Linked DNA regions of Pelodiscus sinensis. The protein of the gene in region 2 interacts with the protein of the main gene of each other region in a pairwise test. Links are inferred from orthologs where the notes say so. Each region holds a gene or a part of one and is shown on either strand. Other genes may lie near its edges.

Region 1 (6,836 bases), on a different chromosome or scaffold from region 2:
GCTCCAAAACTTAGCGGAGGTGCTCGGGGGCATGACTAGCAACTGAAACTACATTTAAAACTTGACAAGTTGTTGATACTGCCTCTTTAAAATAACTCTCAAGCACCATAGTGATAGAAATGTAGCCGTGTTAGTCTGGGGTAGTTGAAGCAAAATGCAGGACAATGTAGCACTTTAACAGTGACTTCAAAATGTTTTAAAGGAGAAGCAACCACCAGGTGGCAACAAGTGGTAAGAAAACTTTCATTAGTGAATTTACAATGGCTTAGTTAGAAAAATGTGAATGAATTTTTTTTCTCAAAGTGATTGTTCTCTATTTGACTTATCAGTACTCCATCCTCAAAGGAAACCTGCACAACACTATCAAAAGATGAACCTGGGAGCGTAAATTCATAACTTTTCTACATGTTAAAAATAAACTCTGGAGTCCTGGCTTATTACAACAATCTATAACACATTAACAACCTTCCTCGCTGCTCCCAGTTTTTCATTCCCACAACTGGAAAAGTATTAACCAGCCACTTCACTTTGAATGGTCCCTTGAAATATGTCTTAACTGTCTCTGCTAAACAATCTGCTTCACTTTGTATTTAGCTGTTACACTCAAAGTATGTTTCTTAATCCTGAAGACAAGCTCTTGGCAAGCTGAAAAGACTGTTTCTCTCACCAGTAAAAGTTGGTCCAATAAAGGACGGGGATTGTGGATTCAAGCAAATTCTCATCTTAAATTTCAAATATGTTTCCCATCTAGATCTATAGTTGGTAACATTCCAGTTAACACCTTTCATTTAATTCTTCAGGATTTACAGAGATTTTGCGTTGATACAGGAAAATCCTTTAGAATAACATTTTAAACATTCTAGCAATCTGTTTCTGTCCTTTCACGCTAACAACCTGATACTTAGATGTGCCAAGTACCTTCACCTCTCATTTAACTTTGATCTTGTGTACACTGGAGATTTATTCTAATTTCAACCATGGGTGTCCAGCCATCAGTGTAGCTGTACTATAAACCCCTGGGCTATGTCTACACTGCAGGTTTTTTGCACAAGAACTTTTTGCACAAGAGTTCTTGTGCAAAAGTTCTTGCGCAAGAGCGCATCCACACTGCCATGGGCTTTTACACAAGAGATGTGCTTTGAGTTGTTGCACAAGGGTGCATCCACACTGCCATGTGCTTTTGCACAAGAGATGTGCTTTTGAGCAAGAGGGTCTATGGCAGTGTGGATGCTCTCTTGCACAAGAAAGCTCTGCTGGCCATTTTAGCCATAGAGGTTCCCTGTTTCCATCTCTTGCGCAAAAAGCCCTCTCTTCTAGCTACTGTAAACTTTCTTGTGCAAGAATGGGCTTGTAGTGTGGATGCTCTGCAAGTTTTTGAACAAGAACAGTCATTCTTGCACAAGAAGCCTGCAGTGTAGACACAGCCCTGGTGTAAACAAGGGAAAATAGTAGTGTTGATTTTTCACTAGTGCATTTTACCCCATTTCCCAGCAGGATTCCTGTAATCTTAAGTGTGTGTTGAATCAGTCTCTAGATTAATTTGCTCTCAATTTTTTTTATTTATCTTGCCCCCCTCCCACTCCAAGAATCTACACTGTGTACAAACTAAGACCCCAATTTGGGAAAGATTTATGCATGCATTAAACTTTATATATAGGTAGTCCTATAGAGTCTAGATCTCAGTGGAGCTATTCATGTGCATAAGATTAAGCAAGTGTATAAATCCCTGCAGGATCAGGACAGACAGACCCTAGAAGACATTTTACTATATAGCATGGTGCTAACTGGGATGGTAGATTTGGACTATTAGAGTAATAAGCACAATAACCAGGAACAAGGATTTGCACAAAGGGGATCTAAGATGATAGCCCCCAAAATATTTTCAAAGGAGTAATGAAGAAAAACCACATGGGCTAGTGAAAAAGGCCAAAAAGGTCAATGAACATGTCATTAACTTAGAAGTCATCTTTCTTATCTGCCTCTTTTGACTATCCAGTCTTTAAGTGCTTATAGACTGTTTTTCCTGTTACATTCCAGCTGAGCTTTCCCCTTGATATTTTTATACCCACTATATCTTCTTGTTTTTCCCCCTCTCCTATTTTTTCCTTCTCCCCCCCTCCCCTATTTATTTTTGTTCTGGGCATCCAACACTCTGGTTATCTGAAGAAGTGGGCTGTGCCCAGGAAAGCTCATGAGACCATCTACATGTTTTGTTAGTATTTAAAATGCTACCGGACCATTTGTTGTTTTTAAGTTTTTCTTTGAGCGTGTGTTTCTGCAATAAAATGTTTCTCATCTTGCTACCTTTCCAGGTTCGCTTAATGGTGTGTCTGGAGTCTTTGCCACTCAACAGTCCTTAATCCTCACGAGTGGGGAGGATCAAAAGGGATTCCCCTACACCACGAGCAGAGCTTTTCACTCCAAATGGTTTCAGCAATGCATTCCCCCTCCAAATGGAAAGCACAAAAATGAGTGAGGGAAGAAATGTCCAGCACTTAATGTGAGGTGAGCCCCCCCCCCCTAAAGTTGGCAGCTGATATAGTCGGGCACCTCCCGGCTCAGTGTGTCAGTGAGAAAGTAAGAGCATTGCTGGAGCGCGCTCAGGTTGCTCTTTCACTGCCATGCCCCGGAAGCGTCTAGCCCATAACTCATCACAGGGCTGGCTGGGATTTCGGGTTAGGTATCAACCCGGCCTCTTTCCACCTCTGCCGGCACCAGGCCTCGGCGCTGGTTTGGGGGGTTGTGTTTGGCTCGTCTCCCCGGCGCGGCGCCCGGGCCGGCCTTGGGTAAGAGCGCAGGCAGCAGCGCCTCCCGCAGCCTCCCCGGAGCCGCCTGCGTCTTCCGCCCCCGCCGGCGCCAAGGGGAAGCCGCGAGCAGCGCGCGGTCCTGGCTTTGCACCGCCCGGCGGGGAGCAGGCCCGCGACGCCCAGCGCAGCATTGGCCCTGCGTGGCTGCAGCCCCGGCCCACAGCAAGGAGCCACCCGGTGCGTTTCCCGCTCCCGCCTCCCTTTCCCAGGGAGCCCCGCTCCATACACCCCGGCCGGCCGAGCATGCAGGCAGCCCGGCAGGCTGCTCCCGGCCACGCACGGGGCATGTGGCCCGCCCCGCCAGGGATACGCCGATCGCCTCCTTCCTTTCCCCGTTTCTTGAATGAACAGCGAGGTGGAGCTCTCGGGATCCCGCCCCTCCTGCGCGGGCCTCTCCCGGCCCGTCTCCTCCCCGCCACTGGGCTCCGCTCCGCCTCCCTCCTCCTCTTGCCGCCGCGCTGTGCCTGTGCTTCCCCGGCCGCCACAGCGACGCGGAACGGACTGGCGCTCCAGCAGCACCACTGCAGACAGACTAGGGGGCTGCTCTGCCGGGCGGCTGACAAGGCTGCCGGTGCTGGGGCGGGAAAAGGGAGCGGGGAACAACTTCCTAGCTGCGGTCCTAATTTGTATGAATAATATTCCACACACGCCCCCATCCTCTTCCCTCCTCTGCACAGTGGGGGTTTCTTCCTTTTTTATACAAACAAAGCTGCTTTGGGAAGGCATTTGCTCCCGGGAGTTCAGGCAACCGCCACAATTTTGATGCTCCCTTTTTGAGTGTGTGGGTGTACGTGTGTGTGTGGGAGCGCTGGGCTGCACCTAGGGATCAGCCTCTGAATGAAACTACATGTATTCAATTGCATGTGTCTGTACCTTGCACTGGAGGGGAAAGCACAGCAGCACTTCTGCAAGAGCTTGGAGTCAAAGGTGTGTTTCATCTGCTCTTCACAATTTTGTTTTTTGTTTTGGGTTGTTCTTTTTCCTGGGCTCTGAGGCTGGATATTCTGAGCTTTGACATGTCTTTGGAGAGGTCTGTTTAACAGAAGGCGGGGAAATATTTTTTGAAATCCTTAGGGTTTTGTTTTTGTCCCTTTCCTGTCCCCTTGGTGATTTGATCTTGTGAAGCATCAAAGCAGCCAGAACTTAATGTGTCTGAAGACTTCTGATTTTTTTAAAGGAAACTTGACAGAGGAACATATTTATAGTTCAAGTAAGTACTTTTCACAGCAAATTTACATTGTGTAATTAAAAAAAAAACAGTGTTGAGATTTTTTAGTTTAAAGTGTATTGGATTAATATTCATCCAAGGCTGTTGAACAAATCAGTTTGAATTGCAGTTTTTGCAGTCTATGTTCTTCAACTCCTTCATTCACATGTGCTTGTTCAGCACCTTGGGGAACGTATGCACCTTGTTTTGAATAAGTATGAGATATTTTTTAAAAAAAATGTATTTCAGCATCAAGAAGAAAATGTTTCTAAAATAAGTATATAATAAGTAAACATGTGCTTCTGGAAATAAAATACACGTGCATCCAAACCGAGAAGTCGAAAGTACCTCTGAGACCTCAGAGCTACCATCATGAATGAAACCACATCAAATACAATAACTGGATTATAATTTTTGGTATTATTGTTATTGGCTACTTTACTTTTTTGGGTTCATTCTTCTCCTCTTCTTCCTCTCTCCTTCGTCCTTGTTGGAAATTATGGCTCATCCTGGGAGAAGAGGCTATGATAACCGGGAGATAGTGTTGAAGTACATCCATTACAAACTGTCACAGAGGGGGTATGATTGGGCTGCCAATGAAAACAGAGGACCAGTTTCTTCAAGTCTCTCTCCTCCTGCTGCTGCTGGGACCCCATCTGACCATGCTGGGCTGGTGTCTTTGCCGCCTGAACCCCCTGGTTCGGCTGCTGCTAGTAATGTGCCCCTTGGTGATGGGCTGCGCTCAGCACCACAGGCTGTTCACTTGACTCTGTGCCAAGCCGGAGATGAATTTTCCCGCCGCTATCACAGAGATTTTGCCCAGATGTCTGGGCAGCTGCACTTGACCCCATTCACGGCCAGGGGGCGCTTTGTGGCGGTGGTGGAGGAGCTATTCCGAGATGGGATTAACTGGGGAAGGATCGTGGCCTTCTTTGAATTTGGTGGCGTGATGTGTGTGGAGAGTGTCAACCGGGAGATGTCGCCTCTTGTGGACAGTATTGCTGTGTGGATGACTGAGTACCTGAACAGACACTTGCACAACTGGATCCAGGACAATGGAGGTTGGGTAAGTGTCCCGTATTTCTTTCTCTGTAAATTATGGTAGAATTTCCATCAATGTGGTCACATACTATAGTGATGCAAGCAGTATAGCAACCTATATAGACCAGAATATGAATATCATAATATACTTTAATTGACATAATGCAAGGCAGTGTTTTGGTCTGTGTTACTATAGTGTTTATCAGCATAGCTGTTGTTGGTGTGGAGCTTCTGGAATGTCATGTCATGCAGGAGTTAGAGTTTTGGTGTGGGAGTGGTCACAGTTCCCCATCCTTTGCTAAAAGCTTGGGTAAGAGGTGTATGCATGTATGTGCACACACTGAAAACAAACTTTCTTGTTGGCTGGTGCAGTGAGCGTTCTCCATTCTGTTTCAATGTACTTTAACCATTGAAATCATATGTATATGTTGCGCTATGGTAGAATGGATTCACAGAGCAGTGTGGGAAAGAAAAGCAGTGACATATCTAGGAATGATGCTATAGCCTAATGCTTGAATGAGGTTGAGGGAAAAGGAAAGCGTGTGTGTTTTGTGTATATGCTCATGTTAGTCAAGAATGCTGTAAGCAGGAGAACTCTATATTACAGATCATCAGATGGAGCAGTGTTTAAACTGAGCATCATCTGGTGTTTATAACATAAAAATATTAGAAAGATTTTACTGCATACGCTAAAAGTAATATTTTTAAATTGTCTTTTTCTAGTGCTTGTGTTGAATCAATTTCAGGTTAGGCAGAATAAAGTGTGGGGAGGAACTTTCTCTGACAGTTTTCTGGAGAGTGCATGCTATTTATTATAACCTGGTGTATTCCAAAGGCAAGAAGTATTTTATGAATTCCAGGGATTAAAAACAAACCAAAACTTTAACCTGGTGTATTCCAAAGGCAAGAAGTATTTTATGAATTCCAGGGATTAAAAACAAACCAAAACTCTGGCTGAGGTGGTTTTAGAAGGGAATAATTCAACCACAGGCAAAGAAAATCTACCATTTTCATCCATACAATCAAATCTCATCTGTTTCTGTCTCAAATAATAGTTTTGTCAATTGAAAGATGCTTTCTCCTTTTATTCATTTCATTCCTGCAGTATGCATAAAACCAATCTTGTATGATGTGCCTTAATGCATTTGTGAATCCAAGGAGCAAAAGACTCATTGCAACAGAAAACTTAATGTATGAGTCTGGGGGCTGTCATAAGTCATTTTAAAGAAGAAAATAGAATAGTTCTGGGATTCTAAAGGCCCTACTTCCGTCTGCTAGGTGGCATATTTATAGAGAGAGATTTGTTATATAGTACAATTTTAAGTTGCTTACTGCATTTTGCTTATGAAATTCATTTTTAAAACTATATATAAATTGTTACTGTACTTAAAGATTATAGATGCTGAAATATCACTTATCCACAGTGGCTGTGTCTATTCAAATATTGAGATCCTCCATTCTCTCCCATGGTTCTCAGCACAGGGTGTTTTACATCCAAGGGACTGGGAAACGTGTGGACTGACATTAGTAGGAAGAGCAGGCATTTGTGGCATTCTACCATGTTTGTGTTCTACTTCTGAAGTTAAACTTCAGGACAAGTGATTAAGACAGTGATATCGACTGAAATGTGGAAAACCCCCCAGCTTGTTTTGAAGGTTATAAATATGGCTTAAAAGTTGCAGGACAGCCCCTCAACATGGACCTGAAGGATAGCCTTCAAAGATAACATTTTTCAAAATGAGTCTTTAGCATTCTTTGGAACAGCTGTTTATGCTGTGCAT
Region 2 (7,671 bases):
GGTGACCAGATCTTCAGTAAGGAATACTGGGATGACATGAAGAGGGAGATCTGAAGAAGTGGGCTGTGCCCACAAAAGCTCATGAGACCATCTACATTTTTTGTTAGTTTCTAAGACTGTTTCTCTCAAACTGTGGGTCCCGACCCCCTGGAGGGTCGTGAGCAACTTGGACGGGAGTCGCGGTATCACAAAGTTTGAGAACCCCTGCTCTAATGTGCTGCAAGACTATTCTTTTTTTTTTTTTTTTTTTTTAGAGAGTGAGGGATGTTTCAAAGTTGGACTGGCATTCAAGGTATATAAAGGACAGGGGGCAAAGAAAGAAAATATGGTATCCGTATGCACTTCTCAACTAAGCAATGCCCATCCCAACTTATTCTTTAATGTACTCTTCTTCCCAGAGTAAAAATGGGGATGTACCATGTACCGTCAAGGTAGGAGGTGAGTATTTACCATCTGTGTCCCTTTTGCTATATTTTTCAAATCTCAGCTTCTTGCATTTTCCATTCTGTATCTACACACCCAACTCTTCCTTATTTAAACCCTCTCTTGCCTGAATTATTTTATTATTTATTACTAAACATAGAGGCTGTGTCTAGACTGGCCAGTTTTTCTGGAAAATCAGCTGCTTTTCCAGAAAAACTTGCCAGCTGTCTACACTGGCCACTTGAATTTCCGCAAAAGCACTGACTTCCTACTGTAAGAAATCAGTGCTTTTGGCGGAAATACCATGCTGCTCCCGTTCGGGCAAAAGTCCCTTTTGCGCAAAACTTTTGCGCAAAATGGCCAGTGTAGACAGCTGAGATTTTTTTTGCGCAAAAAAAGCCCCGATCGCGAAAATGGCGATCGGGGCTTTTTTGCGGAAAAGAGCATCTAGATTGGCCACGGACGCTTTTCCGCAAAAAGTGCTTTTGCAGAAAAGTGTCCGTGCCAATCTAGATGTGCTTTTCCGAAAATGCTTTTAACGGAAAACTTTTCTGTTAAAAGCATTTCTGGAAAATCATGCCAGTCTAGCCATATATTATAGTAGTGCATGTAGGCCCCAATATATATTAGGGGCCATTGTGCTAACCTCTGCACAAACAAATAATGTAAGGTCCTGAGAGTGGTGACCTTATTATCTTATTAATTGCACTTCTTTTGTCTCTGTGCTCTGTCATATTTTTCTTCACCTTTGTCTTCTTTTTCCTTTTCTCTGCTCATTTTTCTTTTCCTCCACACCTTTAAATCTATTCCCCCTCTTATTTCCTCCATATTTCCCCCTTATTCTTACTCATGTATTGACAGTTAAGTTTTATATTGATCCTCCTCCTTCTCCTGAAACAGTCAAACTGACTTCATTTTTGTACCCTTCCACCTTTGTCTCGACAAGCTACCATAAGGTAAGTGAAGAGAAACTGGCTAGGTTAGCACCTGTCTCAATACGGTGGCAATGTACTAAGCTCTTTATAAAGCTAGCGACACTCAGAATAGGTTGAGTGAATGACTCTATGTTGATCTGAATCTCTGATTGCACCTGCCCTAGAGAAGTTTGTACCCATTTTTCAGCAACAGTTTAGATGCACTATTAGACATGATGTAAGCTTTAGTGTGTACAGTGCTGAGGAGTTTTTACTCAACATTATAAAAGCCTGCTTATGTGAAAGGTTATAGTCAGATTTTCATGATGTGATGGTAAAAATGCCTGAGTCCATTTACACTAGCATTGTATCTGTTGATTGCAGTACTTCAGATGTACTTGTGCTGGAAAAGACTATAGACAATTCTTGTTGTTGTTGCATAAACAAGATCTTTGTGGGAGGACTACCTCAAACTCTCTGATGGGAAAGATAGATGACTTCACTATTTCTGAAAGGGTAAAGGATAATGTGGTAATAGGTGAAAGTCCTAGTGATGTGTGTGGTCAGAAAAATATAATTTCTCTGCAGGTTTATGATTAATATAGTAGTGGCATAAGTGTTCTATCTAGCCATCTAAAATGGTACAACTCCAAAGGTCTCAAAGCCCTTTCTAAATGTGAAAACAACAAGGAGTCCTGTGGCACCTCAAAGACTAACGTTAATTTGGGCATAAGCTTTCATGGATAAAACCCCCTTCATCAGATGCATTCTGAATGTGAGTTAACTTACATTTTAGAGACACTGAGTGCATAAGAACATAAGAACGGCCGTACTGGGTCAGACCAAAGGTCCATCTAGCCCAGTATCCTGTCTACCGACAGTGGCCAGCACCAGGTGCCCCAGAGAGGGTGGACCGAAGACAATGATCAAGCGATTTGTCTCCTGCCATCTCTCTCCAGCCTCTGACAAACAGAGGCCAAGGACATCATTTTATCCCCTGGCTAATAGCCTTTTATGGACCTAACCTCCATGAAATTATCTAGCTTCTCTTTAAACTCTATTATAGTCCTAGCCTTCACAGCCTCCTCTGGCAAGGAGTTCCACAGGTTGACTACACGCTGTGTGAAGAAGAACTTTCTTTTATTCGTTTTAAACCTGCTACCCATTAATTTCATTTGGTGTCCTCTAGTTCTTCTATTTAGGGAACTAATAAATAACTTTTCTTTATCGGCCCTCTCCACACCACTCATGATTTTATAGACCTCTATCATATACCCCCTCAGTCTCCTCTTTTTTAAACTGAAAAGTCCCAGTCGCTTTAACCTCCCCTTCATGTTCCCTTGATTCATAAAGCATAGCAATATACAGTTAAACTCCATTGGTCCGGCATCTGACGGTCCGGCACTCCTGATGGTCCAGCACCATCAGGAACCCGGAAGTGCTCCGCAGCCGGACCATTGGAGCTGCTCTGCCCCCAGCTTCCCCTATTCAGCCGCTGCTAAAACTGACCAGTGGCTAAATCGGGGAAGCCGGAGGTAGAGCAGCTGGGGCGCTGCCCCTGGGGGCTGCGTGACCAACCCGGCAGCACCCCAAGCGTCCTGATTCAGCCGCTGCTGAAATTGACCAGAGGCTGATTCCAGGAAGCCCGAGGCAGAGCTGCTCTGCCTCAGGCTTTCTGGAGTCAGCTCTTGGTCAATTTCAGCAGCGGCTGACTTGGGGACGCCTGGGGCAGAGCAGCTGGGGTGCTGCTGGGTTGGTCCCGCACCGCCGCTCCTCGGTGCTGAAATTGACCACTGCTGAAATTGACCAGCGGCTGACTCACTCAGTATCAGCAACGTCTGACTTGGGGACGCCTGAGGCAGAGCAGCTGGGGTGCTGCCGGGTTGATCCAGTAGCGCTGAGGAGCGGCGGTGCGGGACCAACCCAGCAGCACCCCAGCTGCTCTGCCCCAGGCGTCCCCAAGTCAGCCGCTGCTGAAATTGACCAAGAGCTGACTCCATTTTAGCCATCGGGCTTTCTTGCGCAAGAAATTCATGTTGCCTGTCTACACTAGCCTCTTGCGCAAGAACAGTTGCACAAGAGGGCTTATTCCTGAGTGGGAGCATCATAGTTTTTGCGCAAGAAGCACTGATTTCACACATTAGAACATCAGTGTTCTTGCGCAAGAACTCCCCGCCAATGTAGACAGGCAGTATGTTTTTGCGCAAAAGCAGCCACTTTGGCGCAAGACTGCGCCAATGTAGAAACAGTCTGAGACTCTGCAGTTCTAAAAAATTAGGTCACTTATTTACACTTTATTTAGGTGCCTAACTTTTAGGACACACATTTGATCATTTTGACATCTGATTTGATTTGTCCAGAATAGTGAATTCCCTGACTGGCGCATGAACCACTACTCTTTTTTGCAGTGGTTTTTTTTTTTTTTTTTTTTTTTTTTTTTTTTGCAGGGGGTAGAGGGAGGCAGGGACACTTCATCCCTTGGAAATTGATTTTGTCAAGAAGTGGGTCTTGTTTGATACAGCCATATATGAACCTCCCGTGTCTAGAAGTACAAGAATTGATGTCCTGCTTTAAAAAAAAATGCTTTTTGGTAAATGTTTAGAATTTTATGATGAAATTGATGTGCCGTCGAGGGAATCATTTCTTACCAACGTAAGTATTGTATGTGACACCTACTACTTTTCAGTTACAAAATCCCCTGGGGCTTGGGTAGCCCAGGGAGATCCAGATCCTCCAAAGTACTTAAGCCCCTCATTCCCCCTGCTTTGGAGGGGAGCTGAGGCCAGACATACCTGTGACAACTGGAGCCAGTCTGACGCTAGCGTCCTACCCTGTGGCAGGCCCTGCCCAGGCCCAGGGGCAGGGGGCTGCTGCCCAGCGCTGGCGTGCAGCGGTTCAGCCCTCAGGGCCGGGCTGGTTCAGTGGCACAGGACCCGGCTCCCCCAACGGCTCCTGCGGCGCAGCCCCCACACTGCCTAGCGCGATGTCTTCGGACCGTTCGAAACTGGGTCCCCCCGCCCCGCCCCGCCCCTTCTGCCAGGCCCGCCCCGCTTCTCACTGTTCCCAGGCTGGGAGCGCTGAGGACGGGCCTTTTTCGAGGGGGCGCGCGGCTGGGAACCGGGAAGCCTGGTGCCCTCCCACCCCCAGCGCTGGGAGTTCGGTGCCTGACAGGCTGGGGCGGAGCGCGCACGCGCAGTCCCGCGCGCTGACCGCTCCGGGCAGCAGCCCTCGCTGCTCACAGCAGCTTCCCAGCGTCTCTGGGGTGGGGGGGGGGATGCCGGACGCACTACGCATGCGCCTCACTTGCAAAGCCCCTGGCGGAGTCGTGGAACGCGCGGCTCCTGCGACCCTGACTCTGGTTTCTCCCTGCCCATCCGGTTCCGGGTCAGCGCGGGGGCGGGGGTGGGAGGAGGGGGTGTCTGTCAGTTTCCTGAAGGGACCTAGTCCCGGTAGGTATGTCCCGCTGCCGGGGGGAGCTGGGGGGGCGGGGTCGGTAGTCGCTGGCTCTGTGGAGGGGGGGTGCCCCCTTGAGGGGCGTCACGGAGTCGGGGGCGCTTGGGAACCGTTGGGCGGCGGCGTTTCTTGTTCACCCCCCTCCCCGAGCTGGGCCGGGCCGTGTGTGGCGCCCGGTGTCGAACCGGCCGCTCGGTAGCCGGGGCCGGGCGGCTTTGGGCAACGTCCGCAGTGCTTTGAGCGCGCTCTGGCCGCGGTGCGTTCGGCGCTTTCTGTGGGGCGCTGTCTCGGGAAGCCAGGGCTTGGCAGGGGAAGCGGCCTTCACAGGCTCAACGCGAAACCGCCGTCTGAAGCGGCGCTATCCAACGTAAACGGGCAAGCAACGATGGGACCGCTACTGGGAGACCAGTACTTAGGTGTCGTAGCTGAGCTTTGCTCGGCAGAGTCAGGAGTCCTGCTCAGTCCCGCTCTCCTTAGCATGTGTGGCTGAAACAGGCAGGAATCGCACTCTGAAATGGCGTGGGGTGTGTTCTTTCGTACTGTCAACATCCCCTGGTCTTCCTGCTTAACGCCCTTCAGCTTTTATGACCGTAGCACCCTATCATGTGAGCAGATAAATTCCCTATTCCCAGAATGCAGATGTTGAAAGAAGAGAACAGCTTCTTGTGGTTATCCTGCAGAAGAGACCAAACTTGTTAAATGGTCATCCTCTTTTGTGGAGACTGACCAAAAAAAATTTTTTTGGTGTTGATTTCTAGTTTAAAATAAGAGAGAGATAGATAGATACAGGCAGTCCCCGGGTTACGTACAAGATAGGGACTGTAGGTTTGTTCTTAAGTTGAATTTGTATGTAAGTCGGAACTGGTACATATTGTAGGGGAAACTCTAGCCAAACATTTCTCCAGAGCTCAGTTTTATTCTCCCACACCTCACTTCCCTCAGTCCTTTATTCTCAAGCTGAGTTGTCTGCTGAGAAAAGCCGCTCCGCGTCTCCCTGGTCTGCTGGGGTGGGGGGCTAGCTTCATGTCTCCCTGGTCTGCTGGGGGGAAGCAGCTAGTGCGGGGTTGCCTCACCCCATTTGTAAGTAGGGATCCGATGTAAGTCGGATCCATGTAACCCGTGGACTGCCTGTAAGCTGCTGCAATTTTTATAGTAACTCAGATTGTAAATAGGTGGACATACCACATTAAAATACAGGAAATAAAGAACTGTTTTCAATCTAGTTGTCACCTTGAATACCAAATTCGCTGAAGTTTTCTCAAACTTCAATCAAATACTTACATTCCTGCTCTCTATGTAGTTCAATAGAAGTTGTTTAAAACTTGAAAGTTATGAACTCTAATATAGTTTCCCAATTTTTTTAGACTCTTCTGTTGGACCATCTTTTCATTCATGATTTAACGGCTTACCCCTTGCCATTGGAGATCAGATAACTGTAAAGCAGCCAGAACAATTACAGGCAGTCCCCGGGTTACACGGATCCGACTTGCATCGGATCCCTACTTACAAACGGGGTGAGGCAACCCCGCACTAGCTGCTTCCCCCCAGCAGACCAGGGAGACGTGAAGCTAGTGCCCCTCCTCCCCCAGAACACCAGGGAGATGCGGAGCGGCTTTTCTCAGCAGACACCTCAGCTTTAGAATAAAGGACTGAGGGAAGTGAGGTGTGGGAGAATAAAACTGAGCTCTGGAGAAATGTTTGGCTAGAGTTTCCCCTACAATATGTACCAGTTCCGACTTACATACAAATTCAACTTAAGAACAAACCTACAGTCCCTATCTTGTACGTAACCCGGGGACTGCCTGTAAATACATGAAAAAAAATGTGAGGAAAAGAATTTAGTGTTAACTTCTAATAAATTTAATAGTTGGAAACAAGAAGGTACGAGCACCATATTATTTATTAAGTCTTGGAAGATCATATTTGGGAACTTCTAATTGAACTCAAAATCTTCCTTTAAGTGATCATTGTTTGTATTTAGTCAAGCTATGCTATAGATGTTTGACAACTGAAACAGTAACTTAATATGTTTTTCAGTTATGCACAAGTTTCTTCAGTGGAAACTGCCAGGTAAGTCATTTACAACTCTCTTCTATGTTTTCCAAGTAAAAGTTCTTTACATTAATGATTTGATGAACACTAATGATTGTTACGTTGATTTACAGTGATTATTGCTAATCTTCTAACAACATTTTAGCATGAAAGTCATTAAAGAAATCCATCGCTTCCACTATATCCGTGTTTAATCTGGTTGCCAAATCTATTAATTGCACAACTGTTCCTGTTAGCTACTTTAAATAACTGGTTTATTAAGCAATAAGACATGCTAAACTGTGTGTTTTAAAATGTTTAACACCTTGGGCTATATTATGAGGTACAAAGCCAAAATTACTTTAACAAACCTAAAGCAATAACTGCTGTACAGTGCATTACATAGAGTTCAGTATTACATTGAATTCCATTTCATAATAATATTTTTCCTCCCCAGTAAAAGCTATTTTTAGAGCTGCAAGATGCTTCTCACGAAGCAAGTATTTTTATAACTTCATTACAATGCATTCTTATAACTTTTTGAGATGTGGGAATGACTTGCAACTTTGCAGGTAGCTAGTACTTGATGAAGATGAGTAGTTATTTCAATTTTTGAACCTCATGATACAAATTTAGAAACAAAAGAGTTTTGCTCAGGTACAGTAAAACGTGACAGTGCTTTTAATCTGGGTAAGTTTCTAACCATTTGGTTGAATTAGGAAATATGCCATTTTTAGATTTCATATATTAACTGTGACTAGAAAGCAAAATTGTCATCATTATGAAATTTTTCTATTTTTTAAATGACAATTTCAATTGAAATGTCATGCTTAGCTGGTAAGATAACTAC
Region 3 (7,564 bases), on a different chromosome or scaffold from region 2:
CCCCTCCTTCATGGTCAAAACTACCACATCCCTGGAAAGTCTGCACAGAATCATAAGGACTTGGCCTAGCCTTTTAATGACCCTCCTCTCCACGAGGGTCTGCAGGCCACTTCACTCTAAAAGTACTGTTCTGTACCTACACTGCTCCTTAAGCAAGAGCAGGCAAGGAAAAGATTTACTGCTGGTGTAACCAGAATCAATTCCTATGTAAATGGCTATCTTTTTTTCCAGTCTCCAGTAGGCTCTTGGGCTAAGTCTACACTGCAGGCTTTTTGTGCAAGAACAGGTGTTCTTGCGCAAAAATTGGCAGAGCATCTACACTGCACGCATGTTCTTGCACAAGTAAATTTACAGTAAAGCATCAGAAGAGAGGGCTTCTTGCGCAAGAGTTATTCCTCTATGAGGAATAAGCCCTCTTGCGCAAGGCAGTGTGGATGGGGACAGGGGTTTCTTGCGCAAGAGGGCGTCCACACTGCCATGGATGCTCTTGCACAAAAACACATCTCTTGCGCAAAGGCACATGGCAGTGTGGATGCGCTCTTGTGCAAGAACTCTTGCACAAAAAATTCTTGCGCAAGAAGCCTGCAGTGTAGACGTAGCCATGGGGTAAGTCTGCATTGCAATAAAACACTCAGGGCTGGCCTGTGTCCACTGGCTCAGGCTACAGGGCCATAAATTTGGGTTAGATGTTTGGTCCTGAATGCTGCTACCCTCCAAAGGAGGAGCAGCCCAGGTTCCAACCAAAGCATAATGTTTGGGGTTCATGGGGGCCAAAAGTAGGTTTCAGGGTGTTAGAAAGCCAGAGTGCCGCTCTGTAAGGCTGATGCCACAGACTCTGAGCCCTGCCTCCTAGGGCTGAAACCAAACCCTGAATAACTTAGCTTTGCAGGGCTTCATACTCTTAGAAGCCTATTCCAGCAGACCTTTCATGGAAGGGGCTTGTATTGTATTTGAAATCAGGTGGAAGCTTGCTGCAGAAGCACATAGTCCAAGTCTTTTCTGATACACATGATTAGCTAGCAAATTAGATACCTGTCTGACTGGAAGTTTATGAAATATTTACTACTTAGCAGAAATCAAAACTATATATAATATGCATTATGTATCTGGCCATGTTAGAGTAGTTGCTTTATTCAGAGCCATTCGAGTCTCTAGGGCAAATTAGTAACTACAGAATTTTTTTATGGGTGATGAAGAGATAGTGAATATTGTTTAGCCAAAAGACAGAAGCAGTTCTTTGCATCAGCTGTCTTGCATAATGAGGATGTTCAAATTTTAATTAAATCTTATGTATATTCATGAAAACTTATCGAACTGCCAGACCTAGTAGATCTGATTCCCCTACTAGGATTGCCAGACCAAGTAGATCTGATTCCCCTACTAGTCATTGATGTCCTGGTCAAAAACTGCAGTCAAAAAGGGGTCCCGGTGACTCCAGTTATCACTTCTGTCCAGGCCTTTGAGTCAGGTCAGCAGTGCAGTAGGGCTAAAGCAGGCTCCCTGCCCGCCCTGGCTCTAGGTAGTTTCCAGGAATGGGCAGCATGTCCCTGTGACCATTAGCTAGAAGGACAATCAGGGAAGTTTTGGGCACTGCCCTCTCTCCCAGCATCAACTCTGCAGTTCCCAATGATGGGAGCTGTGGCAAATGGAAGCTGCAGGGATAATGCCTGTGGGTGAAGTCAGTGCAAAGCTGCCTGCTCGTCTTTCTGCTTAGGAGCCAAGGGATATATCATCTCTTTTGGAAGAACCCCCAAGATAAGTCCTGCCTGAGCCCACACCGAAAATCCGCTCCTGCAGCCCAACCCACTGCCCCATCCACGAGTGTCCTTTTGCATCCAAACTCCCTCCTAGAGCCACACCTCCTCCCCCACTCTAGCCCTGAGCCCCCTTCTGCATCTCAAAAGCTTCAGCCCCACTCCAGAGCCTACACTCCCTGCTGGAGCCTGCCCCCCCCAAAGTCCAAGCTCCCTGCTCCAGTTCTGTACTCCAAACCCCTCAACTTCAGCCTGGACCGCCCTCTTGTACTACACCCCAGCCCAGTGAAAGTGAATGAATAGCAGGAAGAGCAAGCAACAGAGAAAGGGTGATGAAGAGTGGAGGGGTGCCCTTGGGAGAAGGGGCAGGGCAAAGGTATTTGATTTTCTGTGATTAGAAACGTGGCAACCCTACCCTCTAACTCTTAGGCTACATCTACACTAGCAGTTTCTTCCGGAAGAGCAGCCGTTCTTCCGCAAAAACTTGCCGGTTGTCTACACTGCACGAGCATTCTTCCAGAAGTAAATTTACTGTATAGCATTGTAAAACAGGGCTTCTTCCAGAAGAGTTATTCCTCTCCCCATAAGGAATAAGCCCTTTTGTGCAAGAATCCTCTGAACTGTCATTCATGTTAAAATTCGACACTTGCCAACAAGGACTTAACAAGACTTTGAACTTTCTCACCCATTACCAAGACAGTTTCCCCAATTATCACCTGTAATACCATTAACTCACAAACATCCCACTCTCCCTACCTTTAATATCAGCAATTCACAGACACTTACCTTCCTTCCTCCCCCTTCCCACCCCCCCGCATCCCCCTTCTGTTCTGCAATGTGATTTGTCCTTTTCATATTTGTTCATTTTTTTTAATTGTATCCTTTGGTATATATGGTTGTGACTACTTTCTTCCACTATTTGATCTGAGGAAGTGGGTCTGGCCCACGAAAGCTCATCATCTAATAAACCATCTTGTTAGTCTTTAAAGTGCTACATTGTCCTGCATTTTGCTTCAACTACCCCAGACTAACACAGCTACATTTCTATCACTATTCCAGAAGAGGGCATTGTAGACAGGCAACATGAATTTCTTGAGCAAGAAGTCCCTATGGTTAAAAAGGCCATCAGAGCTTTCTTGCAGAAGAGAGTGTCTACACTACCATGGATGCTCTTGCGCAAAAGCACATGGCAGTGTAGATGCTCTCTTGTGGAAGAATTTTTGCACAAGAACTCTTCTGCAAAAGAGTTCTTGTGCAAGAAGCTGCCAGCGTAGACGAAGCCTTAATGTTTAGCTTGGATATAGGGTTGTCCTCTACTTCTTCCTCCTCATATTCTCACATTTCTGTAGAGCTACCCTGTTAGCTCCCATAATGTGAAGAGTCTCAACCAGGAGCGGTTTGAGGCCGGCTGCGGCAGCTGGCGCCCCAAGCAGGCAGCGCAATTGGCGCCCCTGCCTGTACCGCCATCAATGGTCGTGACGTTATCATCGGGCGCCCGGGCCAGCAGCGCTCTAGGCAACTGCCTAGTTCGCCTAGGCTCATGGGCTGCCCCTAGACTCAACCTTTGGTAGCTTCCTATTTATTATCTAGCGAATACTAGAACTCTACTCAGTAGCTCCCTGCTACAATTTATGGTTGTAAGTGACTAGTCAACTACCTGATAAGCCTAGGCTTACAGGGTAGTCAAGTCAATACTCGACTAGTTGCTCCTCTCCCGCTGCCAGGAGAGTAGGAGCTGGTACCTGGCTCCTACTACATTTAAACTGCAGAGCTGCAGCTGCTATCCCCTAATTGAATAGTTTTTGAAAATTTAATTTGATTAACTGATTATCTGCATTTTAACATCCTTACTGCAACTTCCAATAGATAATTAACCATTAGTGGGCAGTTGACCTGTTTGTGTATATATGTTTAACTGTAAATGTGACCAGACATTTTCCCAGAAGCTCCTTCCTGCTAGCAACTTTGAGCTCTACCTGCATTGAAACCCCTTTGATTAGTTGCCTTCTTTAACTTGGCTGACTGATGGAGCAAAACAGTCAATCACAGTTGTTGTAGAAAGAGTGCTCTCCTCTCTCTTTGTAGCAATTTGAAACTTTCTCACAAGAGGGAAGGGGGAGTGGAGATATCTCCCCTCTTACCAGAAAAGAGGATGGCTGATTGACTCCTCCTGTCCCTCTCTCTCCCTGCACCAGCTGGTTTTAGAAGAGGCAGAGCAGGGAGGAAGAGCCCTTTGAGCAGGTTAGCCTGGAAAGGAGAGAGATCTTTCTGTAACCCTCCTTCTCCAGGTCTAGAAGGATGGGAGGAAGAACCCAGGGGGGCTATGAACTGATGGGAAGACTGAAGAGACATGACTGATTAGGAGCAAAACTAATTGCAAGGCAAGGGAGGGGTACCTCCTGCACCATGGGCCAAAATCACCTTAGTAAATTTGGGAGCCTTACACGCTGGAGCCAGAGCATGCTAAAGTGAGGACCACTCTTAAAATCTCGCCACTGCACCGGCTGGAGACGGAGTAGGGAGAACAGAGCTGGTCAAGAGGAACTTTCCTGACCATTGCTCCTGCCGGACACCCCCTCTCCCTGCAGGCGGACCCTTCTCTCGGAGAAGTCTCCTCGTTTGGCCAGCAGAGGGGGCTGTGGTAGTCCCAGCGCCTCGCCACTCTCCTGCTGCTGCCATAGGCGGGGCGAAGGGCCCTGCCGGCGCACGCGCCCCGCGGCAAGCTCCTGCCCCCACCCCAGGGATGACGTCATGGGTTTGGTCGCGGAGCATTGTGGGACGGGAGGAGCCGCCATTTTCGGTGGGGGGCGGAGCGAGCCGCACAGGCTGGGAGCCGGGAAGGGGACGCGCGGCGGCGGCGGCATTTACTGCCCGCAACTGTCAGCGCGTCTCCCGCGGGCGGCTCCGCGCCGGCTACCGGCGCGCCCACGGCAGCCGGCGGGCGGGGAAGCCGCTGGGGTTGGTGGTGCCGCCCTGCTCCCCCCACCGACATCCCCTCCGGTGCCCTCCCGGGGTGAGGAGCCCGGCCGCCTCGCCGAGCCCTGCGCGCATCGCCTCCGCTTGCAGCACCCGAGCGGTGAGTGAGGGAGAAGGGAAGAGGCCGGCTGGGGCCGAGCCCTGTGCCTGTCGGGGGCTGGGAAGGCGGGTGATGGGGCGCGGGTTGGTGAATAGGGGGTATAGAGCTTGGGGGGCTGGGGCCGAGCCCTGTGAGTGTCGGGGGCTGAGGGCGGCAGGGCGGGTGATGGGCACAAGGCCGGCGTGTTGGAGTAGGATAGAGCGGGGGGATGGGGCCGAGCCCTGTGTCTGTCGGGGGTTGGGGCAGCGCAGGAGGGTATGGGGTGGGAGTGGGTAGGGGGCGTGTGCAGAGAGGCAGCAGGAGGCGGTTGACAAGGGGTGGGGTTAGTCCGTGTTTTGCCATTTTCCATGAGCGCTGAACCTCACCTCCCTTCCCTTCTCCCATGACACAAACAGAACAAAAGGCTGGGCAGGTCTTGTTGGCCTGACGGTCCTTCTGTAGCTCATGGTTACAGCCAGCCTCTTCAGTATGTCTGTCAATCCCAGGACCTGCTCTGGCAGTGACTGTACTGGTGATTCTGCTGAAGAGATGCTGAGAGAAAGGGATCCTGTTCGTCTGGATTGCGAGCAGCTTTTTTGTTGTTGTTTCTCTTCTTTTCTTGCTCTTTCCTGGCTTCCTCCAGTGCTGCAGTTAGGGCCTGAGGATGCCCAAGGAGGAAACCCTGGACAGAGTTGTGGGATAAAGAGCTATTCCCTCCCTTGTAATGTCTTTATTTGCAAAATGGATAGATGGTTCGGTTGGTTGGTTGCTAGTTCTGAAATACTGAAAGAACAGTAATGACAGCTCTTGAATTTTCGTGTGTGGTGATTGGCTATATAAATTACAGAAGCAACAGCCATAGATTGTTACCTTTATATACCTCTTTATTGTTATACTTTAAGACTCTATGTATGAGGTCTTCACCCCAGAAGCCAATCATAGTTGCAAGATTTAAAAACAAACCCAAATCACAACTCTTCAATAAGCTGCACTTAATGTGAATGAAATAACAGTAATGTACATCAGGTTTTGTAGCTTCATAGGTGAAGCTTCTTTTCTTATCAGAGTCTTCCAGACCCCCTCAAACAAATAATTTAGTTTGTAAGAATGTGACTGTTTTTTTTTTCTAGATGACATATTATCTGTATAATGAGTGAGCCTTTATAGTCAATTAAATTCTCAAATAACAAATGTAAGCCTTACATTTCTGTAGTATGCTTTGTTCAGGGTATCTTGGGGATCATATCTTGATGATTAAGTGATAATTAAATGTACAAAAGCATATATATTTCTGCTTATTTTTCTTTGATTTATATTTTTTCTCTATATCATTTCAAAACTAAACATAACAGTAATGCAGTAAGCAAAACGGACTAAAACAAATGTGAAATTAGTTTGCATTGTATAAAATGAGAAATAAAAAAGTAAGCAAACATCCTAGATAGTATAAATTAATTTATACTATGTTTATTTTAAAATATGGATGATTTTACTAAAAAGCAAAGATTCTTAAAATATTATAAATCTGTATTGCTGTGACAATAGGAGCAAGCATGGTGCGTTATGGTATTTCATTTGGTGGATGTCTCATTTATTTTTGTTTATAGCTACACCTTGCATAGGAAACATTCGTCCAAATTAGCACACAAGATCATTCTTGAAATTTTTTTCCAGATACAAACATTGAAAAAAGTTGGCTACAATTTTGAGTTCAGCTTCTATTCAAAAATCATATTTGGCAAATAATTTTATTTTAATTGGTTATTAATTCCATAGCTGGGATACAATATAATTGAAGATAACCAAACCACAGGACTAATAATAGTATTGAGTAACAAGTTTAACATTCATAGACAATAGAGAGGAAGCAGATCCATTAGCTGAAATTGAGCACAGGACTTTCATGTTTTTTTCAGTCAGCAGAACAGTTTTATAGTTAACATGTTACTTAACAGGAAACTGCTGTGAAATTATAGCAAATTTGGAGAAGTATTATGTTGTGTTCAGAGCTCAGCAGACTTATGTGGGGAGGGGCAGAGGATTATAATAATCAATTCCTCAAAGTCACACCAGAATGCAGTATCACTTCTGCATCATGTTGCAGTTAAAAAGTTTGGAAGTCTTTCTGTTCCTCTGAGGATGATGGGAATGGACAATCCCATTAATATGAGGATCTATCAACATTATATTTATTTCCTGTTCCTTTTAATAAAAACAATATTGCTATCAAATAACATTTACAATCAAGGAAAATAAATAAGATGTTAGTTATATATTTTAAATTATCTTTTAAGCATTATAGCATTGAACTATTCGCATGTGCCATTTATCAAGGCAAAATGAGAGGCTAAGCGGCCTGGTAGTTTAGACAAAATAAGAAAAATCTAGCTTATCAGCATAAGAGTAATGGTGTATGCAACTTCAAATGAGGCATCTAAATTATTTAAGAGGAAGAATCTTTATATTTACTTTATTAAAGCAGGAGAACCGAAATAGTATTGTACAGGCACCTTTAAAATACAGAATCAGTTGCTGTTGCTATGCTGATGGAGGAGCTTTCCATGAGGTTGTCACAAAATTCTCACATATATACTTTCTTCTGCGCCTCTGCGTGTTTTTGGGTCTCCTGTTTGGCTGGGTGTCCCTGGAAGACTTCATTGTATCTTCAAATTTAGTCTCAAAATTTTTTCATTGAAAGTTGTGTGTTTCTTGAGACATTTGGATTTGAGCAGCCACTCTTTATCTTCATGTCAGG
Region 4 (7,139 bases), on a different chromosome or scaffold from region 2:
GCTTAATTTGCATAAAAATGGCTGCCATTTTTGCCGACTCAGCACTTTGGCTGCAAAATGAGGCAGTCTAGAGGGGGATCTGTTGATAAAGAAAGCCTTTTTTCGACAGATTCTGGCACTTTTCTGCAGAGAAGTTTACAGGATCTGCCAAAAAAGGCTTTCTTTCTTGACAGATCCCCCTCTAGACTGCCTCTTTTTGCTGACAAAGTGCTAAGTCGGCAAAAATGGTGGCCATTTTTATGCAAATTAAGTGCGGGATATTTAAATCTCTGCTCCATTTGCAATGTCGACCTGCCTAATCTGCATCCCTCTGCCAACAGAGGGATGCAGTCTAGACATACCCAAAGTGTAGTTACATAAAAAATGCAAACGAACAGAAAACAGGAGGAACACACTGCAGACACTAATATAAACTTTCTAAGAAAAAATTATCTCTACAGTGAAACTTCACATTGTGCCAAATATATTGGGTACGTACTTGGGAAATACCCAGATTTGAGGACAAGGTCATATTTAAGACCTACGGCCAGTAATTTTGGCAAAGGCACCTCAAACAATATATCTAAAGAATTTTGCAACAAATCTAGGGGATGTAGTAACAAAAAGTCATTCTATTACATGTGACCTATGAATTCTAATGTTGAGTTTGCTTTCTTTAACTGGTCAGAGAAATGTAATAAATAGCTCACATGACTCATTAAATAGCAGCCACAGTTGCTATGCCTTTTGGCACAAAAGCAAATTGTCTATGCAAAAAGAGGAACCAAAACCTTTTTGTAGCCCTCAATTAATTTAATGGTTTGCTGAAATTTGATGGTGGAAGAGTGACCTGGAAAAGTTAAACATAAAAACATGAATTGCTGTTGTTCTGTGTCTGTAAAGAAATTAAAGAAAGGCAGCATTGTTTACACTGGGTAGCATAGTATTGTTATAAAGTCATCCTATAGCTCTATTTTTATAAACCAGTTACCAAGAAAAACATTCTGAGGAACATCCTTGTTATGTGTGTAAAGTTATGGCTTTGCCTCAATTGCTTGTTTTATTTGAAAATATCAGAGATGGGTGCTACCCATTTTCCAAATGTAAAACTGGTTGCTCCTTATTCATGACTGACTCCTCACAATGGATTAGGAAATGGATTATGTTACATATTCTGGTTTCCTGTTATTAAACATTAAAGGGCAAAATCTGGCTTGACTAATACTCTGTGTGAGACTATTCAAGTCAATTAGCATACATGGAGTGAAAATCAGGACAGAATTTGGCCTTACATTTTAAGACATTTCATGTGAAAGAAACACTCATGGGCCACTGTTTGCACATGTGGCATAGTCAGCTCCTTCCTGCCTCTGCTCAGGGGTTGGAGCAGCCAATAGATAACCTGACAAAAGTACTCAAGGCCTCGGTATGCCTACAATTGAATGTATATGTTTCCAGCAGGTGGTGGAGTTGAGCAAGCATAGACTGGGGCTATGTCTAGACTGCAGGCTTCTTTCAAAAGAAGCTTTTCCGGAAGCGATCTTCTGGAAAACCTTTTTCCGAAAGAGAGTGTCTATACAGCAAAAGTGCATCAAAAAAAGTGATCTGCTTTTTCTAAAGATAGCATCCACATTGATTGGACGCTATCTTGCATTTAAGGCCACCCTGAAGCAGTTCAGGCAGGACATTACATCAGCAGTTGCTTTCGAGTGCTGTTGCCTAAGCCTAGCTGAGAGACACACTTAAAGGGACCCCCGTGGACATATTTTCTCTGCTTCTGTTGTGTGCTTGTCTATCACTCTGAGGGCCAGCAAAGCTTTAGCAGTGTATGCTGTGGTTGCCCAGCTTTTGGACACCACAGCATTCTTTGTGACATGAAGCCAGAGTTGCCCCTTGGCATGCAATGGCCCCACAGGGCCATGCTGCAGTTTGTGCAGCAGTTTGTGCAGGCTGCCTTCAAGGCCCTCCACGAGCTTGACACCGAGTTAATCTTTGAGACTCTCTCCCTGTGTGTGGGAACAAGACCCTGGCAACCATACTTCACAGTGGAGAGATGGTTTTGGAGGCTCAACACCAGTTCCAACTGGTGGGACTGGCTGGTGATGGAGCGGTGGGATGACCAGCAGTGGCTCCAAAACTTCCATGCGGAAGACCACCTTTTTGGAGCTATGTGTCTGCCTAGCCTCTGCCCTCCAACGGCATGACACCCGCCTGTGGCCCGCCATCCCCCTGGAGAAGTGGATTGCCATCGCTGTCTGGAAGCTTGCCATCCCAGACACCTACCCGTCAGTGGGCAACCAGTTTGGTGTGGGGAAGTCCACCGTTGGGGCCCTCCTCATGGAGATAAGGCACCCTCGGGCTGCAGTCCCTTGGGGTGAGGGCAAGTCCTGGAAAGGGGGACCTTAGGGAAAGGAGGGTGGAGTGCTGTAGGGGTGGGCTTGGGGGGGAAGCCCCATCCCCAGGGGGTTGTGCCATCCCACCCTCACACAGCCCTGCTGCTGGGCTCATAGGGGGTATCTCCTGGGGTATTTGAGGGGGGGAGAAGAGGAGATGGGAGGGCACCTCCCAAGGGCTCAGGAACACCCCCTCTCATTCTCTGTTGTGTTTGTTTGTCTCCTTCCGCAGGTTGTGAGGGCCATCAACTCCATCCTGCTGGGCAAGGTCATCTGCTTGGGAGACCTGGACCAGCTGAAGCACAGGGCCGAACAGGAATCTCATGACCATTTCAGAAGGGGCCTTGCATGCACAACCCTTCATAGGTCCAATGAAATATATTACCTCATTCTCTCATTTTCTGTCAGTTCATTAGTCACCATCTGTAATTGGAATAAATTACATCATCAAACACTCATTCAGGCTATGCCTAGACTACAGGCTTCTTGCACAAGAAGCTTTTTTCGGAAGCGATCTTCCAAAAAAACTTCATGCAAAAGAGCATCCACACTGCAAAAGTGCATCAAAAAAGTGATGTGCTTTTTTGAAAGATAGCGTCCAGCCTGCCTGGACGCTATCTCACACGTAAGCAGTGATTGCGATGGACAGAATGGCCACCAAGGCACCTGTGCTTTTTCCTCTTCCTTCTTCTTCTGAAAAAATTCCCTCTTCCTCATCCATAGACGCCTTTTTGCAAGAGTGCTTTCGCAAAAAGACGTTCTTCCTCGTAGAATGAGGATTACCAATTGCAGAAAACCCCCGCAGTTCTTTTGATTTATTTGTGAAAGAATGCAATTGTAGTGTGGACGTTCCTCAAGTTTTGTCAGAAAAACTGACTGTTTTTCCGACAAAACTCTGTAGTGTAGACATACCTTCAGTGTGGAACAGAGGTAAATGTGAGAAGTATGTATAGACTCAGTTACTGCTGGCACAGAGTCAGCTTGCACTTCTGCCATTCAGGGGCTATCAGGACTGGGGTAGCTGCAGCCCAGACTAACTAGGGCTGCTGCAAGCCCTACTCGAATGGGCCCAGAGGGGTGCAGGTCTCCCTCAGTTATGTCCTCTTATGCCCAGTCTGACTCTTCTACATTCTGGAATTCCTGTGTTCCCTGCAGACACACCCCAGAGATTCCGTGCACCATAGTGGTGTTCTCAAGCTTTGCTCGCTCAGACTGTACAATGCTGAATCTGGCCCAAGCTGCTGCTTTGTCCCAAATGTGTTCAAATACCAAGTTGTGCCTAGGTCTGGCTATTGTTATGAAGTTGGTCCAATAAAAGATTACCAACCCACCTCGTCTCTCTAGCATAATACCTATTTATTCTGTATGGCTGGTACAATTCAACAGTGTAACATGATTCTTTGGCTGGCGCGTTTAATTTTTAAGTCAAAGAATAAGGAAGGAATTAAAATATATGACTTTTACTGTACCCACCATATTTATTTTTTCATTTTATAAAGTGTCAAACCTAGTTCAAGAACTTCAGAGATTATAAGGGGATTTTTAAAGCTTTGACATATGGTAATGTAAGCATACATGTTGAAAGCAGAAGCAGGTGTGCTCCCAGGTGGAGGCACTGGAGGGACACAAGGTAGCCTACTTGCATATCTCTGAGAAGAGAAACCAAAGCAAACCAGGAAGCAAATAAAAATATTCAGGCAAGCCACGTCTCAGGCTGTGAAAAAAACAGGCTGGCTGGGTTAGTTATTCATTACCAAGAGCTACAATGTGCAGAAAGGCTCTGTGCTGACCACAGCAGGCACTCATATGGGTCAAGAAGAAGAATCTTCAGAAGTAGTACAGCTCTGAGAAGAGTCAACGCTAAGATTTTAAAATTATTTCTAATTATTTGTACTTTTTTTCTTTTGATAGGACAAACAAGATCAATGATTTTCTTTTGCTGCCAGATTTTGGCCCAACCACTGTCCTTTTTTGTTTTCCTGATCAAAAGAGGAAGCAAACAATTCTCCCCCATGCACTATTGCCCTTTAATGCTCAGGTATCACTCCTGAGTAAGAAGCAGCCTGCAACAAGCTCTCGGTGGGACTTTGGAAAGAAAAGTTTCCAGCTACAGCAAAATTTATTTCATCTTGTGCCACAGGAGGAAAAATATCCTGCAAAGAACTAAAAGGATGACAATGCTAAATTATGTATAAAGATATTGCCACTTGGAAAAGAAAAGAAAAATAAAGAGGAGAGAAGAAGCCACCAAGAGGAGCAGCATGGGGAACTTTTGCCGGAAGCATTGCATTTGTATGCAGAGGTGTGCCCCTTGGCTCTTCCAAGAGAGTGATGATGGAGGAGAGGGGGAGAAATATAAGACAGGCCATGTTAATCGTGGCTTGTGGGGAAATGATTGCCAGATAGACAATACTGCCCAGGCAGGTGTGGATGCTGGAATTCCTTTGCCTCCACCGCGTGATCAGAAGCCCACAAACCGTCACAACTTTGTGGCACTGTTTGATTATCAGGCCCGCACTATAGATGATTTGAGCTTCCGAACTGGAGATAAACTCGAGGTGTTGGATACATCTCCAGAGGGCTGGTGGTACGCTACTCTCCTCCTGGACAGTGGGTCAACCCAGCCTGGCCAGACGCTCAGCGGCTACATCCCCGCCAACTACGTAGCTCCTGTTCAGAGCATTGAGGCTGAGCCGTAAGTAACACCCACATTATATGCACAATTGTTGTTCCTCTTGTCTTAATAGAAGGAACAGATTGCAATACCTTTTCTCACACTGACTAGTACCTTGTTCCAAAAGTCTTCTCAGTAGTGCAAGGCACTGCTTAACATGAGTAACGAGATCACAGTCTAGTCCCAAATAAATAAAATAAGGCAAAGTATTCAGATGTTTGTTTCATTCTAAATCACTTCCCTTCCCCACATGTCCTAATCACTTCCTTATTATATAGGTGGGTCACAGCTAGTACGGGTAATTATTATGATTATTATTTATATAGCAGTAAAAATATGCTAGGTGCTTTCTAAAGAATAAAAAGATAAGGGATCTGTTCCCAAAGGGCTTGTAATTTAAATAATTCCAAAGCTGAGTAAATTACTTAAAAAGGGCAAGAAGCTGGAAACATCCCCTCACATTTTGTTCCTAATGGTGGGTGAATTTCTAAGGTATCTGTGTTAGTTTCTATCTCATCATAGATGCAATGCGTGGTGCTGAATAAATAAATCCCCACCTTGCAGAGCTCAAAATCTGAGTTACACTATGGTACCGTAAATGGAGGAATGAATGGCTAGAATTCTTGCCTAAAAGTTATTTGAACTCATTAAGTCTGAAAAATCAGACTAGGAATCTAATTGAAATAGATTATTTCACTGGGAGTCTGATTTGAAGAGGAGTGGGGAATCCAATGTATGCACTGCAGTTGAGACAGGGGTTTGCTAAAAAAGCTGTGGCCACTATCCCAAAATAGATGCATGTTTCCACTGAAATGACTAGCTAACAGAACTGACATTTTTAGGTTCCAAAGGCCACTTTCTATTTGGATGAGTAGGGACAATCAATATCTCTTACAGTGCCAAAGACATACTTCACTCTTCAAAGGAATGGTACTACAGCTGTGTGGGGTAAATCTTCTTTCCCCCTGAAATATGCTCTCCTACCCATTAGCTGGGGCCACAGGGAATTGCCATAGAGTTGATTTACCAGCTGAAGATTCTTTCATGTTGGGAAAATCCTCAAGTGGAATGACCTGTTAGGGCAGGTGTAGGGCATCTCCCTTTTACCCTGGAGACCTTAGTGTGTACGGTCAGTCAGACAGCACTTCCTCCATTCATATTCAAAAGCCTCTTTGCAACCATGAACATTAATCTGCAAATACAGCATTTGTCTGGGGCTATAAGAGAAGTGTTTGTAATATGCTCTACTTCAGCTCAGTAAGACCGCCGCTCTCTTTCAAAAACTTGTTTTCTTGCAAGATTTCCAGGATTTCTGTTTCTTGTCACAGCTGGAAACATTGTGAAATCAACTTCAATTGTTATTCAACAGAATCTCATTTATCTCAGTCTCTCTCATATTTATAATCTGCCCTAGCATGCATAATTTGCATATAACATATTTATAGTGTCAAGATTTTTTCTTTTACTGTGTTTAAGTTTTACCTCTCCACTTTTTAAAAAGAGAAAGAATATCGTTATGCTGTGATCAATGTTTCTGCTTGAGGACCCATTGGATAGTAAAAACCTGCACTGGGAATTTTTCCAACTCTTGGTTGAAGAGTCTTTCCTCCAAAATATTAGTCAAGAATTTTAAGTGTTTTAATATTAAGATATTTTAAGTAAGAGTTAAAAACAAAACCAAAGAAACACAACCACCAAAGACACTCTAAAAATTTCTGTAGCTGTTCTCACATACCTCTAGCACATATTGGTAGACTAGGATCTGATATTTCGAATGTGAAAAAAGCAGAAAATGAACCCCCCCCCCCTCAAACCACACCATGAAGAAATAAGAGGGTTCAAACTTTTTTTCTGCTGGACATTAAAAATAAAAAGGGTAGAGATGGAGCTTAAAAAGTTAATGAAATTACTTCTTTCTAGGATTTAAAATGGAAATGTTGTGGGTCAGTCACTAATTTCCTTCTTTTTTAATTTGCATTTGAATCTGGTTTATCACTTGCGTGTAGGGCTGGGTATTTTACAAACATTTTCTATAATTTCTAAAGAGATTCATGTTTTCAAATCACAACTTTGTAAACTAATTTGTATAATTT

Evidence for each region.
Region 1: the proteins of BNIP2 (region 2) and BCL2 interact in a two-hybrid assay, tested with the Homo sapiens proteins (3 studies listed by BioGRID and IntAct). The link is inferred for Pelodiscus sinensis from reciprocal best matches to the Homo sapiens genes BNIP2 and BCL2.
Region 3: the proteins of BNIP2 (region 2) and KLC1 interact in binary tests that used the Homo sapiens proteins (3 or more experiments, as listed by UniProt). The two-hybrid records come from large-scale screens. The link is inferred for Pelodiscus sinensis from reciprocal best matches to the Homo sapiens genes BNIP2 and KLC1.
Region 4: the proteins of BNIP2 (region 2) and FRK interact in binary tests that used the Homo sapiens proteins (3 or more experiments, as listed by UniProt). The two-hybrid records come from large-scale screens. The link is inferred for Pelodiscus sinensis from reciprocal best matches to the Homo sapiens genes BNIP2 and FRK.

The regions. Positions count from the first base shown.
Region 1 is NC_134712.1:117,889,642-117,896,477, forward strand, and holds the start of BCL2 (apoptosis regulator Bcl-2), read left to right. Parts: upstream 1-3,828; 5' UTR 3,829-4,513; coding exon 4,514-5,080; intron 5,081-6,836. UniProt on the Homo sapiens protein: Suppresses apoptosis in a variety of cell systems including factor-dependent lymphohematopoietic and neural cells. Regulates cell death by controlling the mitochondrial membrane permeability. Appears to function in a feedback loop system with caspases.
Region 2 is NC_134724.1:43,189,093-43,196,763, forward strand, and holds the start of BNIP2 (BCL2/adenovirus E1B 19 kDa protein-interacting protein 2), read left to right. Parts: upstream 1-4,669; 5' UTR 4,670-4,786; exon of another isoform or gene 4,787-4,790; intron 4,791-4,892; exon of another isoform or gene 4,893-5,046; intron 5,047-6,827; exon of another isoform or gene 6,828-6,860; intron 6,861-7,671.
Region 3 is NC_134714.1:20,265,214-20,272,777, reverse strand, and holds the start of KLC1 (kinesin light chain 1), read left to right. Parts: upstream 1-4,541; 5' UTR 4,542-4,830; intron 4,831-7,564. UniProt on the Homo sapiens protein: Kinesin is a microtubule-associated force-producing protein that may play a role in organelle transport. The light chain may function in coupling of cargo to the heavy chain or in the modulation of its ATPase activity.
Region 4 is NC_134713.1:82,695,323-82,702,461, reverse strand, and holds the start of FRK (tyrosine-protein kinase FRK), read left to right. Parts: upstream 1-4,138; 5' UTR 4,139-4,633; coding exon 4,634-5,067; intron 5,068-7,139. UniProt on the Homo sapiens protein: Non-receptor tyrosine-protein kinase that negatively regulates cell proliferation.